Linked DNA regions of Cricetulus griseus. The protein of the gene in region 2 binds, or shares a complex with, the protein of the main gene of each other region. Links are inferred from orthologs where the notes say so. Each region holds a gene or a part of one and is shown on either strand. Other genes may lie near its edges.

Region 1 (8,076 bases), on a different chromosome or scaffold from region 2:
CTTTGAGGAAATCATTCTGTCACTCATCTTTCACTTTGTGCCAAATCAAAGCCTTTAGTCTCTGGCCTGGATGCCTCTTAATTAACACGTCACTCAGAACACTAGGCTTGGTATTCTCCCTCCTTAGTAGGAGAGCGATGCTCTCTCTCACTCAGCAACACCCTGCATTATCACAATATCTGGAGATTCTCCACTTGAAAGTGCAGTTGGCCAGAATGAATGAGACAGCATGGATATGAAGTATATAGGTGTTACACTAAGTGAACATTCAGCCTGTTTCTGACATAGCAAGATATCTCATTGGGTCAGGAAATGAAATTTTTCAAAAGAAAATGAACAATGGGAGAAAACAATGAAACAAAACAAACAAAACATGGCACAAAGACCCCTAGCAGGCAGCAGGTCATTCTAACTAAGAGTGGGTTTAAAAAAAAAAAAAAAAGCTTCTTCATAATGGAAATTCACTTCTGTTCTTCCTAGCCAACCCACCCCAACAAGGTCCACATCTGAATTCTATAGCTCATCACCTGCCCTTTAAACAAACTTTTAACTGTTATTTTTATCATGAAACATGGTTAAACATTCTCAGAAAGTCGATCAATGCAGGACTGAAAATTAACACACTACTTCTAAACAATATCCCGATCATCTTTTCATACAATTTTGTTTTCATTGCTTGCTATGGCAAAACTCTTCTGAAACCTTATGACATCTAAAACATAGTAAAGCCACCATGAAAAAACAGTTCTGCTCATCCTTGAGGCTTCACATTTCACTTTGATTAGAGAAAATCTGCAACTCACATCAATTACACTTGCAGAGATGTTCAACAACAACCAGCAAGGTCATAACACTGTTCATTTCTTAAACTGAAATATTAAAAAATGTAACAATACTATTATAAATAATTCAATATTGACTTCCAATATCAAGGATAAATTATTTCAAATTATTAAGAGGAAATAGTGACTGGCTACTCACTAAGATGAAACATTAATGTCACAGAAATTACTTTCTTTTTAAAAACTATGCTGAAACTGTTTAATTGCAATAGATACTCCAGGATGTGTCATGCTGGGATAATGCCACTTCTTGAACCACTGAAAGCACTCCATGAGCCTCCAAACTCACCCAAGGCATGGAATCATTATCATAGCATGACTCACACCTGCCGTGTCTTATTGCTTAATTATAACCCACCATAGATGAACTGTATTGAATTTTCAGCAAAGCCTAGAATTGAATAGAATTTCATTTATTCAATTTCATACCCACATTGGCCTATTGGGTTTTATTTTCATAACTATCTGGATCACTAGTGAAATGAACAGACCTAGACTCAATATAGATTTAAGTAACCTTTTTTATTAATAACACTACTAACACTAATAGAGTGTTGAGGCAGAACTGACAAATACTGCAACTAATTTAACTATAATTAATTTCTATTTTCAATATCCCAGCAAACATTTCTAATATGAAATTTACCTGTAAATACAAAACGTGTTGTTCAAGTGCTGTAAGGAGCAATGCAGGCTGGGATGCTGAGAGGCTCTGAAGCCTGTTCCAATCGATTGTAATTTTCACCACATCATCTCTGAGGTTAAGCTTCAAAGGGACAGACCAGCAACATCACAAAAATTACACGATTAGGCTGTATATATGGGATTATCACAAAAATAAGATATCTATGGAGTAATGCATGCCTATTTTGCTCAAAGTTACTAAGTTTCAATGACATAATAGAATGCTTTACCTGGTTGCCATTTTAAAAATCAAAGATGCAGCTTAGAAAAAAAATGAATAAAGCATCTTAATATTCTAATTCTGTTCCTATATTTATATAATTGAGCCATCTTTGAGAAGCCACCCATGAAAGATAAAAAGATGGAACCTCTTTTGATACTTGGATATCTAAAATACTTTTGGAAGGTGTCCAAATATAGGTCCGCCCTAGTTGGAATAAATCCTTAATTCCAACTAAGCATTCAACAGAGGAAGCATAAGTTGCTTTACAGAAGTTCCAGAAAGTGAATTCTCTTTGTTACTTATAACATAAACACATGCCTAAAATATTCATTACCTCAATGTGTTCTCACTTTCATTGTTTTCAAATCTAACCAATTTTTAAAAATACTTAAAACTCAAGATTATTCACACATAGTGATAGATGACAGTAACTAATTCAAATAATAATCAAAGTATTAGTTATGAAATTGTTGAGCTGAAAAACAAGTATGTTTCTACAGCAGTATAACAGATTGACAGAACTGTGTCCAGTGTGTTTACTAAGGATTTTTTTTTAGTAAAATATAAGTCTCATTACATGAAAATTTCTCATCACCTAGTGGTGATTATACCTAGAAAATTACACCTAGAAAATACCAAGAACCTGAATATAAAATTAATATCAAAATCAGTCAAAACTTTAGTGGGAGAGGAGAAGCTCCACCTGTAATCACTGACTGAGTATGAAGGAATCCCTATAAACTTTTCTAAGGACACCTATTGTATAAGTACATTGTATAAGTACATACCGCATAGTGGAAGGAAGTTAACTGTATTTTGCAAGAATAATTTATTGGCAACTAGTCATATTTTCCACAAAGTAAAGATACACGTTTCATGAATTCAACTATCAATCTAATGAGTTGTTAAAAATAAAAAACCAAAACGTGAATCACTGTCTACGGAACCAAAGAAATCCCAAGTTCCCAAAGTAAGCACTTTCGTGTACAATGGATACAAACATTTACTGCTGAGACCAGAACCATTTCAAGTCCTTATTTGACAGACATAAAGAAATATGAAATTTTACATAGACTATACTGGCAAAGATAAGCTTACAACTAAGTTAAGATTTGACATTAAGATTAATAAGATTACTGTATTTAATAATGTGTATGAAAGCAATCCATCAGCATGTGTTTACAGTTCTCCAAGAGACATACAGTTGACTATGGCAAATTTAAATGGCTTGAAGAATAAAAAAAACAAGTAATCTTTAAACCTGAGGAAAGCATCACATTCTTTAAAGAAAATAACTATAGAAAAGAAATCTTAATGGCTGGATAATATTCTATGTCAATTCAGCAGAATTATGTAAGTCTTCAAAGGCAACTCAAGATAGTTGGTCTTCCATGAAAAATCAAACAATAATGTCATAATTCAAAAATGACCCCCAAATACATCCAATTTTTCATTCAGCAAATTCCTTTATGCATTTTACCCCATAGCTCTTGACATTCAAATTTTTCTATTAATACACTAGATTAATCAGTTATGAATGTTCAGTAGAAACTAATACAAAAAAAAAAAAAAAAAAAAACAAGCTAACAAATCTTTAGCTTGATAACATGGGCCAATGAGAGGAAAGAAAAAAGGTTAATGTAAGTGTATTTTGCATTTGGAGAAAAAAATACTTTTTACAATTCAGTTTTATACTTTCTTTTGAAAAGCACTAATAATTCAATGATATTTACAATGAACTAATAATTACAATTTACATCTTAAAAATCCTTTTAATTTGTTGCAAAAGGACACAAGTTGCCTAGGGGCAACTTACATGTGTGTATGGCTTAAATCATAATCTCAAAATACACAATAATACTAAAACAGCATTTAATTGATTTAAAAAAAATCTTATATTGACACTTGTATAAAGGTCCCTTTAACTATGTTACATTTGTTGGCAGGTGGCATAAGTTAAGATTGAATCGTTTTTTCCATTTGAACCTTTGGTATAAATTTATATAACTTTGAAAAAATCAATATGCAGAATACTTTAGATGTTCAAATCATTTATCAATGTACATTATTTTTGCAACTTCTAAACACAAAGGCTGAGAATATTTTTCTCATCTGGACATTAGAATATTAATGATTAAGTCTTTAAGTTCCAAATCCATGCCAAAAAGTTCTTTGACTTTTGAACTATTTAAAGATCTGGAATATTATCACTGAAATGTTAATTTAAACAAAGTCTTTAAGACTTGGGAAAAAATTTACTAATGCTCATTAAACAATTGATTTTAAAGTTTTAATTTTAGAAGACCACTATTAACTGCCTCATAACACCGAACTGAATGTACAAATGAAAGTAGTTTGCCAGGCAAAATAAACGTACTAAGGTTTTAAAATTTTTACTAAAATAACTTTTTACAAGATCAATTATTCATCCATCTAAGGGTTTTAAAAATAATTCTCACAAATCAGGTAAATGCCCTATTGTCAGAGGTACCACATGCACTAGACCAGCCCCCAATCAAACTAGGAAACAGTTTGACATAAAATATTTTTAAAAGCAAGCAAACATACTTTTGCTCCTTATTAAAAATAAGCTTCATTATATCATGAATGGCTTTATCTAATAAAGTGAAGGAACCTCCTTTTTAAAATCCAGTTTTACTATGGCATTTCTGTAAGAGCGATTAGTTAATAGTCACACGACACTAGTAAAGACGGTAGAGCTGGTCATACATTCAAATCATCCAACAATTTACACTAAAATCTAGGCACATTACAAGTTAGTTATATTTTAGAAATTCTTACAGCCCCCCGCACCGTTTCAAAGGGTATGACAGATGCAAATAAATGATGAGAAACAAATAAAAACCCAGAGTAAATCACCCCCTAAAGAGTGGAGATGGAGGTAGGAAAAGTTTCAGGCCATACTAACCGACGAATTAAAACAGGGGAGGAAAAACCACAGTCAGCTCCAGGAGCCTCCTTAACCCTGCCATCTCTCATGCATTGATTTTCTGCAAGAGTTCGGCGCCAGGACCCGTGTTTCCTCTCGCCCTCGGTACTCACGCGTGGTCACCGAGTGTGCAGCCGGCCGCTCCCGGCCCCAGGCAACTGGGCTCCCGCTCCTCCCGGTCCCGGCGGCCGCGGCCTCGGCATCCTAGCCGCAGACGCGATGCGGGAGGACTCCGCGACGAGGGAGGACTCCGGAGAGAGGACCGGGATGCTCCCCACCCCCGCCGCACCTTCACTTACCTGCCCAGTCAGGGTGTGCAGGGAACGAAAGAGCTCGCAGAGCACCTCGCGGGTGAGAAGGGGGCTGGAGCTTCGCTCCAGGTTCCTCTCGCTGCAGCTTGAGGCACTGGGCTCCGCAGCAGCAGCCATGACACCTTCGCAGCAGCCCCCAAGCGCGGCCAAGACGGCTCGCCCCCTCCCCTCCCGCGCGGATTCCGTCGCGCTGAGATGACGTAAAACTACCGCGTCTTATTTGGATGTGAGGGTAGGCCCCACTCTCTCTATGTGACAGACAGGCACCGAGACCAATCAAGAGCAAGGCGTCTGAACTCGGAGGTTCTGTGTAGCGCAGGCGGACCCTCTGTTTGGTGATGTTTTGCGTGGGTGGCTATGGCTTAGAAGTCTACCTTGGCTCTTAGACGCTCCCCGTGAGTGCCGGAAGAGCCTTACTGTTAAGTGTTAGAAATTGAGTCCCTCTATTAAAATTTAAAATGTTAACATGGCGACTTGGAGTTGGGACAAGGTTGAGGGTCAGCGATGGAACGGGGCTCACGTGTCTGAATACTGGAAAATTCATACCCAGGATGATCATAACTGGATAGAACATTTTCATCTCTACAGGGTTGTTTGACGCGAAGAATGTAAGAAAAACTGAAAAGCCTACATTATGCCTCCTTTGTCAGGAAACGACATTGATGACTATAACTGTAAAATAGTTTGTCAAGTTTCTAATGCAACAGTTTCTCAGTGGACACTCAATGGACACTCAATCCTAAAATTGTTTCAAATAAATCCAATAGAACTTTAAACCAACTAATTTCATATTAGTCGAAATTGAGATAGAAAACTAAATCGACACTTGCCGGGTATTATTAGATAGCTTTATTATAACGAAAGAGTTATAATTTTATAATGTAGAATTCTGTTAAAATTTTAAAACAAGCTTAAGAGATAAGCTTGGTCTACTGACCATGTTGCAGGACAGCCAGGGCTAGTATACAGGAAGTAGAGGTATGGACCTAAAGTGTATTCTATAGAGTTGAGAAGAAGCTGAATGAAGGAAGAAATAAGGAACCAAGGGACACCGGGATAAGGATAGTAAAAATGAAAGCACTCCTTTGACCTGTCTCTACAGAGCCTTTTACTCAGTTATTTCCAAAGATGTCTGGGATCATCAGACATAGCAAGAAAGCTTGTCTGTGTCCTTGCTAGCAGTAAGATCTGAAGCCGGTAGAACACCTGTTTGGTGACAGAGATTGAAACTCAAATCAAGCAACCCTCTCATTCCAGTCACTTGTCCTTATAACTAAAAGAAATTCACAATTTGTTGTAATGTTAGCACATTTTTGTCTCTGATTCACTTGTTAATGGGGGATAATTGTAATGTGGAATCTAAGAGTCCTTGTTCTATACCAAGTAATGATCTTTGGATTTTTTAGGCAATAGAGGACTTTTATTACACATTTTGAGAGTGATTAAGGTACTGCCCATTCTTTTCTTTGTCATAACTGATTTTGAAACCCAAGCTTTTAGTTTCACAATTTTTTTAGTTGTGTGTGTGTGTGTGTGTGTGTGTGTGTGTGTGTGTGTAGGTGCCCAAAGAGATTAGAAGCAGGGGATATGAACAGCTAGCCAGGCATTGGTGTTGAGTCTCACACTTCAGTCCTCTACAAGAACAGTTGCATTCTTAACCACTGAACTGTCTCCCTCCCTCCCTGCCTGCCTCCCCTCCCTCTCCTCCTCTCTCCCTGCCTCCCTCCTTCCCTCCCTCCCTCCTTCCTTCCTCCCTCTCCCCTCTCTCTCTCCCTCCTTGTCTCTCTCCTTCACTCTCTTCTTCCCTCCCTCCCTGTAGTCATCACTGTCCTGGAACCTTCTGTCTAGACCAGGTTGACCTCAGACTCAGAGATCCACCTGCCTCTGCCTCCCAAGTGCTGGGAATAAAAGCATGCAGCACCACACCCTGCCCCTTGCTTGATTTCTTGAACCCCTAATATAAGAATAGCTAATGGCCATTTTATTTATCTATCAATTATCTAATAATTCTGTTAAATCCAGACCTGCACCTGTATTTTATTATTGCTTGCTTAGATAATTCTTAGGACTTAGTTCCTCCATGTATTATGTCTTCTGTCTTGACATCTTGTATTCCTTCCTGATGCCCACTGAGTTCATTTCAGACATTTTTCTTCTTTTATAATAAAAACTTCTATTTTAAGTAGAAGGCTTTATAGGACAAAAAGATGTGGATTCCCTTGGGCTAACTGCAGACAGAAATGTATAGATGCTAATGTATAGCAAACGTATAATAAATGCTGAAATTTAAAAAGGGAATAATTTGCCCTTTATAGAAAACTAATTGCAGTTTATGAAGTGGGTTCTGAAAAATCGGCTGCTCAGCAGAAATGCTTCAAAGTGTTGACGTTGGCATTAGCAACAGAGTTAGAGTACTGTCCTGCAAGCTTATGCCAAGAAGCAATTGAGAAGATAGAAATTAGAAATGAAATCTAGGCTATCTCCCTTATCAACAAAAATGCCTTTTACAATGAGCTTTGAAGGCATGACTGACTCCATGACATAAAAATGCCCAAGGTATCGTGTTTTAAAAAATATATAATATACAATATTTTTCTAATGCAGAAAATTAAATAAGATATTCGTTGCCCCTGTCTCTGCATCATCTGCTGGGCAGGTCCAATTTCCTTAGAAAAACATTATCAGGTTTTTCTCACTACTGTACTATTTCATATTGTTGCACAGTTTTTGGCATAGAGTAGTTGCTCAATAGTTTTCCTTTCTATGTGAGGCAGGTATATTCTACAACTTTCAGTGGATGCCTGAAGCAGTGAACAGTACCAAACAAACTCTATTTATATTATATTTAATTGCTACCATAGATGGTAGCAACCTCAGCATATATAGACTTTATTCTTGCCTTACTGAGAGCTTCCATCTTTTCACTTAGGGAAAGTATGTCACAGTTTGTTTGGCATATTCAGATTGCTAGTGTCATTACTCTTATGCTTTTTGGTGGCTGTTAAGTTGAACATAAGCACTCTGATACCCTGGAAGCTCTGATGACTGAGACAGCTGAAAGTGAGT
Region 2 (7,373 bases):
TAAATTTCAAGAAGAAAGGGGCAGCCTTTTTTCTTTTCTTCTAGGAAGTTTAATGTTATTCCAAAAAGCCTTTTGTTGTTCTTCTGTAGCATAGAAAGATTTTATTATAAGTTGTTGAGTGGTAAATCAGTATTTTGAAACAGTTTTTAGAAACAACACAACTGTTGTCTTAGTTTAGGTTTTTATTGCTGTGAAGAGACACCATGATCATGACAACTCTTATAAAGAAAACATTTAGTTGGGGTGGTAGCTTACAGTTTCAGAGGTTCAGTCCATTATCTTCATGATGGGGAGCATGGTGTCCTGCAGGCAGTAGTAGTAGTGCTGGCTGAATTTTGACCAGAAGCAGCAGGAAGTCGGCTGGCTGTCATACTAAGAGAAGTTTGAGCAAAAGAGACTTCAAAGCTCACCTCCACAATGACACACTTCCTCCAACAAGGCCACACTTCTTGATAGTGCCACTTCTTTTGGAGTGGCATTCGGAGCCATTTTCTTTCAAATTACCACACATGTCAACCAATATGTGACTTTATATTTGCAAATCTTTATGGTACTTGCCAGGTTGAATGTGATTGGGATGAGTTTAATATATGAATGGTTTCTGAAATTTCTTATAATAAGCTCATATGGTAGGCATAGATCAAAATGTGTTGCCTGTTAGTACTGTGGGTTCTGTTGCTGGAGTCTTCTTGTCTCAACAGGCCCCATAGCTGCTTCATCCCCAATTAAGCACACAAAGACCTATATTAATTATAAAACTGTTGGCTGATAGCTAGGACTTCTTACTGGCTAGTTCTGTCTTAATTATTAACCCAAGGCTACTAATCTATGTATTTCTACATGACCTTATCTTACTGGAGAATGCCTGCTACGTCCTATCTTCCCAGTCTCTACATGGCATCGCCTCGCAGTCTCTCTCTGCCTACCTTTCCCAGAATTCTTGTCTCCTAGCCCCGCCTATCTTCATGCCTCTATTGGCCAAACAGTGTTTTAACCATTAACCAATAAGAGAAACATATACAGAAGGACATCCCTCATCAGGGTTCCTTTTTTTCCCTCTTGTTTTGTTTTTTGAGATAGGGTCTCTATATGTAACCCTAGCTGTCCTAGAACTCAATATGTAGGCCAGACTGGCCTAGAACTTATAGAGATCCACCTGCCTCTGCCTCCCAAAAGCTGGGATTGAAGGTGTGTGCCACTATGCCTCTTTTTAAATTGATTTCTTTTTTAATTCTTGTAAGGTGTATTTTTCAGAGAGAGAGAGATAAAGACAGACAGAGAGAGAGAGAGAGAGAGAGAGAGAGAGAGAGAGAGAGAGTGTGTGTGTGATCTGGAAGAGTAGTATGCACTTCTGACTGCTGAACCAATAAATGTTACCATAATTACTGTGTAACACATCCACAAACATTCTTTTCAGAAAAAAATAAATATTGATGTGTTTTACTGGAAAACATTGTAGCTCATAGAGGTAGGTGTGGAAGAGCTAGAAAATAATAGTAAATCCTGAGGAAAATATCTGATAATGATAGTCTTTGTATTGGGGGTACAGTGTATGTTTGTATGTGTGCAACATGTTACACGTGTATGTGTGTGCACCTGTATATGGAGGCCAAAAGTTGACATCAGGTGTCTTTCTTTAAGACTTTCCACCTCATTTTCTGAGACAGTTTGCCTCACTGAACATGAAGTCCCTGCCTGCCTGTCGTGATGTACACTGCCACATGTGGCGTAGTCTTTTTAAACCAAGTACTACAATTGAGGTTCCTGCATTTCACTCCCGTCCCTGTTCTTAACCAAATTTTTTTTTCTCCTTAGACCTCAGACTTTCCTGTTCTTGATCCCAGCTGGACGGCTCAGGAAGAAATGGCCCTTTTAGAAGCTGTAATGGACTGTGGCTTTGGAAATTGGTAAGAGTTTAGTGTTGGGTGTTCCTTTCCTTATGGGCTCAGAAGAGAAACCACTGTGGAAATACAAAAGCAGAGTGCCTCAGAAAGTGAAAAGCTCTGCTGCTTCCCTGATGACGAGGGACTGGGGGGGGGGGCAGTTTCTCATTTGTGTAAACTTCTTCTAGGCCTGAAATACCTTCAGAATACAGGATGTTTAGTGGCTCATAACTGAACAGTTCTCAGTGTTACTTTGGATCATCAACACCAAGATTGTTCTTCCTGAGTTGTGGAGAAGTATAGGCTGCTAATTGTTTCTCCCTTCTGGTTTTTATAGATTTATGAGTACACAATACAGCTTTAAGTGTGTATGCACTTGTTAGGGCTTGAGGGTGTGAGTTTGCTTTTCCACCCCCTCCACCCGTGTGTGTGTGTGTGTGTGTGTGTGTGTGTGTGTGTGTGTGTGTAGTGGCTGGAGATTGATATCAAATGTCGTCCTCGATTATGCTGTCCGTGTTATTTTTTGAGACAAAGTCTCTCACTTAATCTGGAGGTTAATCTCCCAGATTTTATAATTTAGGAACACTCCTGCTAATAATTCTGTTTTGTGAACTAGACAGCAGAGATCTTATTAAACATATTCTTTGTTCATGAAGCTTCTGAATCTTAGGGAGTTAAATTCTTTCTTGTTTTTCATAACTTGGTAGTGAAGGAACCTCCTGGGTCTTCGCTGGTTGCTAGTGCTCCTAGTACTTTCTTGTGTCATTAGGAGGGCTGCCCTCCTTATGTCCAGGGTCAAGTGACAGACCAGAGCTCAGCTCATATTTTGTTTCCATTTATTTAGCACCTACACATCATGAAAACACTGTATGTGTAGAGAGTACCAGGGACCACTTGTGAGCAGTTTATAAGTCATCTTTGCCTGAGACTTTACTTTTTCTCTAAAGTGGGCCAGTCCCTCTCATCTTCTTTCCCTCTTAGCAAAGACTAAGGAAACGTCTGTTACTGGGTGGGAAAGATAGATAGCTGAGTGTTAGAGCTTTTGCTCAGGATGTGTGAGGTATTTGGGTTCAATCCCCATCACCACCCAGGATAATCTAGTTACTTCTGTATTCAGTGTGGATAAGGGACTTGGCTTGATGGTAAGAGCACAAAAATTTAGGTTCCTATCTTCACATGGGCTCTTTACCTATTAAGGGAATCAAACTGTCTACATTTGACTGATGTACACAGCATCATGGTGATGCCCTAGGAAAGGGTTCTGTAAGAGTGAGCTTGAGCTGGGCGCACGCCTTTAATCCCAGCACTCAGGAGGCAGAGGCAGGCGGATCTCTGTGAGTTCGAGGCCAGCCTGGTCTCCAGAGCGAGTGCCAGGATAGGCTCCTAAGCTACCCAGAGAAACCCTGTCTCGGGGAAAAAAAAAAAAAAGAGTGAGCTTGCAGAGGGGACTGAGAGATTTTACCTCTACCTCTGCATCACCTAAGGTAGGAGTCATCAATCTCAGTATAAATTCTGGCTTTGTCTTCCTTAGCAAGTATATTACCTCTTAGGTATCATATGTTTTTTATTCTGTGAAATAAAAATAATAATATACTACTAAGGTGATCTTACATTATGTCTGAGTATTTGTTATCTCAATGTCTTGCATATCCATAGGAATTCTAGTGAAGAAATGTCTGCTCATGACATGTGTTTTGTATGCTATAAGACATGCAGAAATAAAACTAGATTTATATACTTTTTTAGACAGAGTCTCACCATGTAGCCCTGGCTGGCCTGGAATTCTGTGTAAACCAAGCTAGCCTCAATTTTACAGAAATTCACCTGCGTCTAACCTCCAAGTGCTGGGATTGAAGGTGTGTGCCACCATGCCTGGCACATTTGTACATTTTGTATGTTCCAAGATGGTTTCTATTGTTACTGATGATCTTTAAGGGCTTATTTATTTATTTATTTATTTATTTATTTAAAGATTTTATTTATTATGTATACAACATTCTGCTTCCATGTATATCTGCACACCAGAAGAGGGCACCAGATCTCATAATGGATGGTTGTGAACCACCATGTGGTTGCTGGGAATTGAACTCAGGACCTCTGGAAGAACAGTCGGTGCTCTTAACCTCTGAGCCATCTCTCCAGCCCAAGGGCTTTTTATTTGTTTGTTTGTTTTTTTGTTTGTTTATTAGGTGTGTGTGTGTGTGTCTGTGTGTCTGTGTGTCTGTGTGTCTGTGTGTCTGTGTAAGTGTTTGTCACTCATGCTCACATGCCAAAGAGGCCAGAAAAGGGAGTAAGTGAAGTTGCAGGCACTTACTGACCACTGAAGGAAATATTTTTAACTGCTGAGCCAGCTCTCTAGCCCCCTTAAAAATTTTAAGTCCCATTTATTATGGTGTATGTGATGTGGGCACTACATGTGAAGTACACAGGACAGCTTGCAAGAATTGCTTCTCTCTTCCACATTTTGAAGAGGAGGCTGTTTGGTTTTGTTGGTGGTGGTGGTGGTGGTTTTTTTGGTTTTGTTTTTAGATAGGGTTCTCTCTATGTGGTCCTGGCTGTCCTGGAACTCAGTATATAGACCAGGCTGGCCTGGGTTTCATAGAGATCCTCCAGCCTCTACCTCCCAAGTTCTAAGATTAAAAGCATAAGCCACAACGCCTGACCTCGTTTTATTTTAAAGACACTGTCTCACTCGATAGCCCTGGCTGATATAGAGTGCCTACCTCTACCTCCCTAATGTTGTTATTACAGGCATTGCCACCATTTCCTGACTCCAAGGTGGCTTCTTGTTTATAACGTTTCTTTCTCCGACCTACCTCTGGGAAATTTATAGGTGATGTTGATGATGATATTTGAAACAAGGTTTCATGTGTCTATCTCAGACTGGCCTTTGAACACAATATGCAGCCGAAGATGACCTTGAATTTCTGACACTTCTGCCTCTGCCTCTTTTGTATTGGGATTACAGGTGTATACCACCGTGTCTGGGCTTCATGCATTTTAGGCAAAAGTACTTGGCCAGCTGAGTTACATACCCGGCCTGGAAATTTATGGGTAAAAAATAGTCATCTTCCTTCCAGTGGGAAGGAAAGGTCCCTTTATTGTTTCTCTATCTTGAAGTAGCAAGATTTGAAATATCAGATGGCATGAGTGTCAGTGGTATATCTGTCTCACTGTTGTTTTGCTCACATCTACTTGGAGGTATCAAATTATTGATTTTATGTTGATTTGACTTCGAATATGGAATGAACAAACCAAGCTTTCAGTGGCCTGTATCAGTAAGAAAACTACTCTCTTCGCTCTTTTTCCACATTGTTCTAGGCAGGATGTAGCTAATCAGATGTGCACCAAAACCAAAGAGGAATGTGAGAAGCACTACATGAAGCATTTCATCAATAACCCTCTGTTTGCATCTACCCTGCTAAACCTGAAGCAAGCTGAGGCAGCCAAAACTGCTGACACAGCCATTCCATTTCACTGTAAGTGCCTGCCTAGGTAAGAGGTACTTAGACCATCCTTGGGCTCTGTTTCCATAGCAGATAAACAGTGATATGATGACTTGGACAGATAAAGAGCTTCTGGAAGGTAAGAGGAGTTTGGTATGATACCTGTTGAGTCAGGGCTATGATATGGCAAGAAGGGAGCCCATCCCAGAGGTCAGAGTTGCAGCCTTCTATTCTGGATCTCTTGCAATATATTAGTTAACATTAATTAACAATTGCTTCTGTAAGTTGTTATGTCCAAAAAGGGGCCAATCTATGTTGTCTTTGTTACAAGCCTTCTTATCATCCCTTTGGTAGGAGTTGCTTACCAGGATTCACTATTGCCTCAGTGTTAAGTCCAAGGAGTAATTTGTTCTTTTTATTCACTTAGTTATGGCAGTGAAGGCAATCTTTTTTAATCTGATATGCCTGTGGGGATCAGTGGGTCTTTTAATGCAGTGTAACCAGAATCTGATGAATTAATTACAAACAAGGATCGTCCATGAATGGCCCCAGAACACCAGTAATGTATGCATGCTTTCCTACTGGCCTGCCTTTCCTCACTTCTGGGAAACAGCTTTGTAGCTGATGACCTCAGAGGTTGCTGATACCTCCTACTTGGATAGCACTCTGGATGTTAGCACTTTCCTCCATTCCATTAGGCCTGTTTTTTATGAACAGCAACCCAGTGAAATAATCAGAGTGGGTGCTTTTGTGTTACACACAAGGAAACTGAGATTTTAAAAGGTTGAACAATTTGTACAAAGTTGTAGAACTGTTGTAGGCTGGCACTGGGACCCAGTTTGATTAACTTCAAAATCCAGGATGCTTTTGCTTCTTGGTTGGATGAGATCTGTAAGTTGGTAGTGGTCCTAAAGATCAAAGGAGCAGGGCACTGACAGGATACTTAAGTTCTATACATTGAAGGAAAATAGCTTTGTTTCATTTTTCAATCATTTTGGGAAAACAAAAATCAGAGGGCAAGGCTACAGGATGGCTCAGCAGGCAAGGCACCTGCCATCAAGCCTGACCTAAATTCACTCCCTGGCACTCACATGGTGGAAGGAGAGAACGGACTTCTGCAACTTGTCCTCTGACCTCTGCATGCATGTCATTGCACATGCCTGCCTGCACAAACACATGCAGATCAGAGGACGTTTTCTTCATTAGGAAATCAGTCTGGGATTTGGTGTGCATAGTAGCATAGGACTATAACCCCATGATTGCCACTTGGGAAGCTGAGACATGAGGATTGGGAGGTTGGGAGTAGTGTAGGATATATAATGAAACCTCTGTCTCAGCACAAAATAAAAACACCACCAGCACTTGGGAGGCAGAGGCAGGTAGATCTCTGAGTTCAAAATCAGCCTAGTCCACATAGCGAGTGACAGCCAGAGCTACATAGAGAGAAGACTCTATCCCCCCATTCCCCCCAAAAAGACAAAAGAAGCTGTTGTATTTTTTTCCGCAATTACTTTTCATTCTTTATAAAACTTTTGTATTTATTCTTAGATCCTTTTTCTCAAAGAAATGTTTCAGAGTTGCATGTGATGCCTGACACTTGTAACCCAGCAGCCTGAGGCAAGAGAATTATAAGAGTCTGAGGCCACCCTCAGCTATTTAGTGATACCCTGCCCTCATATGTTTTGGCCTTGCCTTGAACTCATTGTGTAGTTAAGTGTGCCTTGATCTGATCTTCCCGCTTTTGCCTCTTAGGTGCTAGGATAAAGGCATGTGCCTTCATACTCTGAGAAACTCTGTTTTGTTTTTGTTGTTATTGTTAGTTTTTGGTTTGTTTGTTTTTTGTGGGGGGGGGTTGTTTGTTGAATTAGCAAGTCTTTTCATTGACCATCACCTCACAAATAACAACACAGAAACTTATTAATTATGAAGGCTTGGCCTTTAGCTTAGGCTTGTCTCAACTAGCTGTTATAACTTAAATTAACCATTTATATTAATCTATGTTCTGCCACATGGCTTTACCTCTCTTCCATCTTGCACCTCCTAT

Evidence for each region. Proteins that work in one complex are often made in the same cells at the same time.
Region 1: Tada2a (region 2) and Mbip share a complex: the UniProt entries of both Homo sapiens proteins name them as parts of the ADA2A-containing complex. The link is inferred for Cricetulus griseus from reciprocal best matches to the Homo sapiens genes TADA2A and MBIP.

The regions. Positions count from the first base shown.
Region 1 is NC_048598.1:146,083,382-146,091,457, reverse strand, and holds the start of Mbip (MAP3K12-binding inhibitory protein 1), read right to left. Parts: upstream 5,191-8,076; 5' UTR 5,128-5,190; coding exon 4,999-5,127; intron 1,609-4,998; coding exon 1,489-1,608; intron 1-1,488. UniProt on the Homo sapiens protein: Inhibits the MAP3K12 activity to induce the activation of the JNK/SAPK pathway. Component of the ATAC complex, a complex with histone acetyltransferase activity on histones H3 and H4.
Region 2 is NC_048600.1:97,366,333-97,373,705, reverse strand, and holds part of Tada2a (transcriptional adapter 2-alpha), read left to right. Parts: intron 1-1,815; coding exon 1,816-1,907; intron 1,908-5,204; coding exon 5,205-5,362; intron 5,363-7,373. UniProt on the Homo sapiens protein: Component of the ATAC complex, a complex with histone acetyltransferase activity on histones H3 and H4. Required for the function of some acidic activation domains, which activate transcription from a distant site. Binds double-stranded DNA.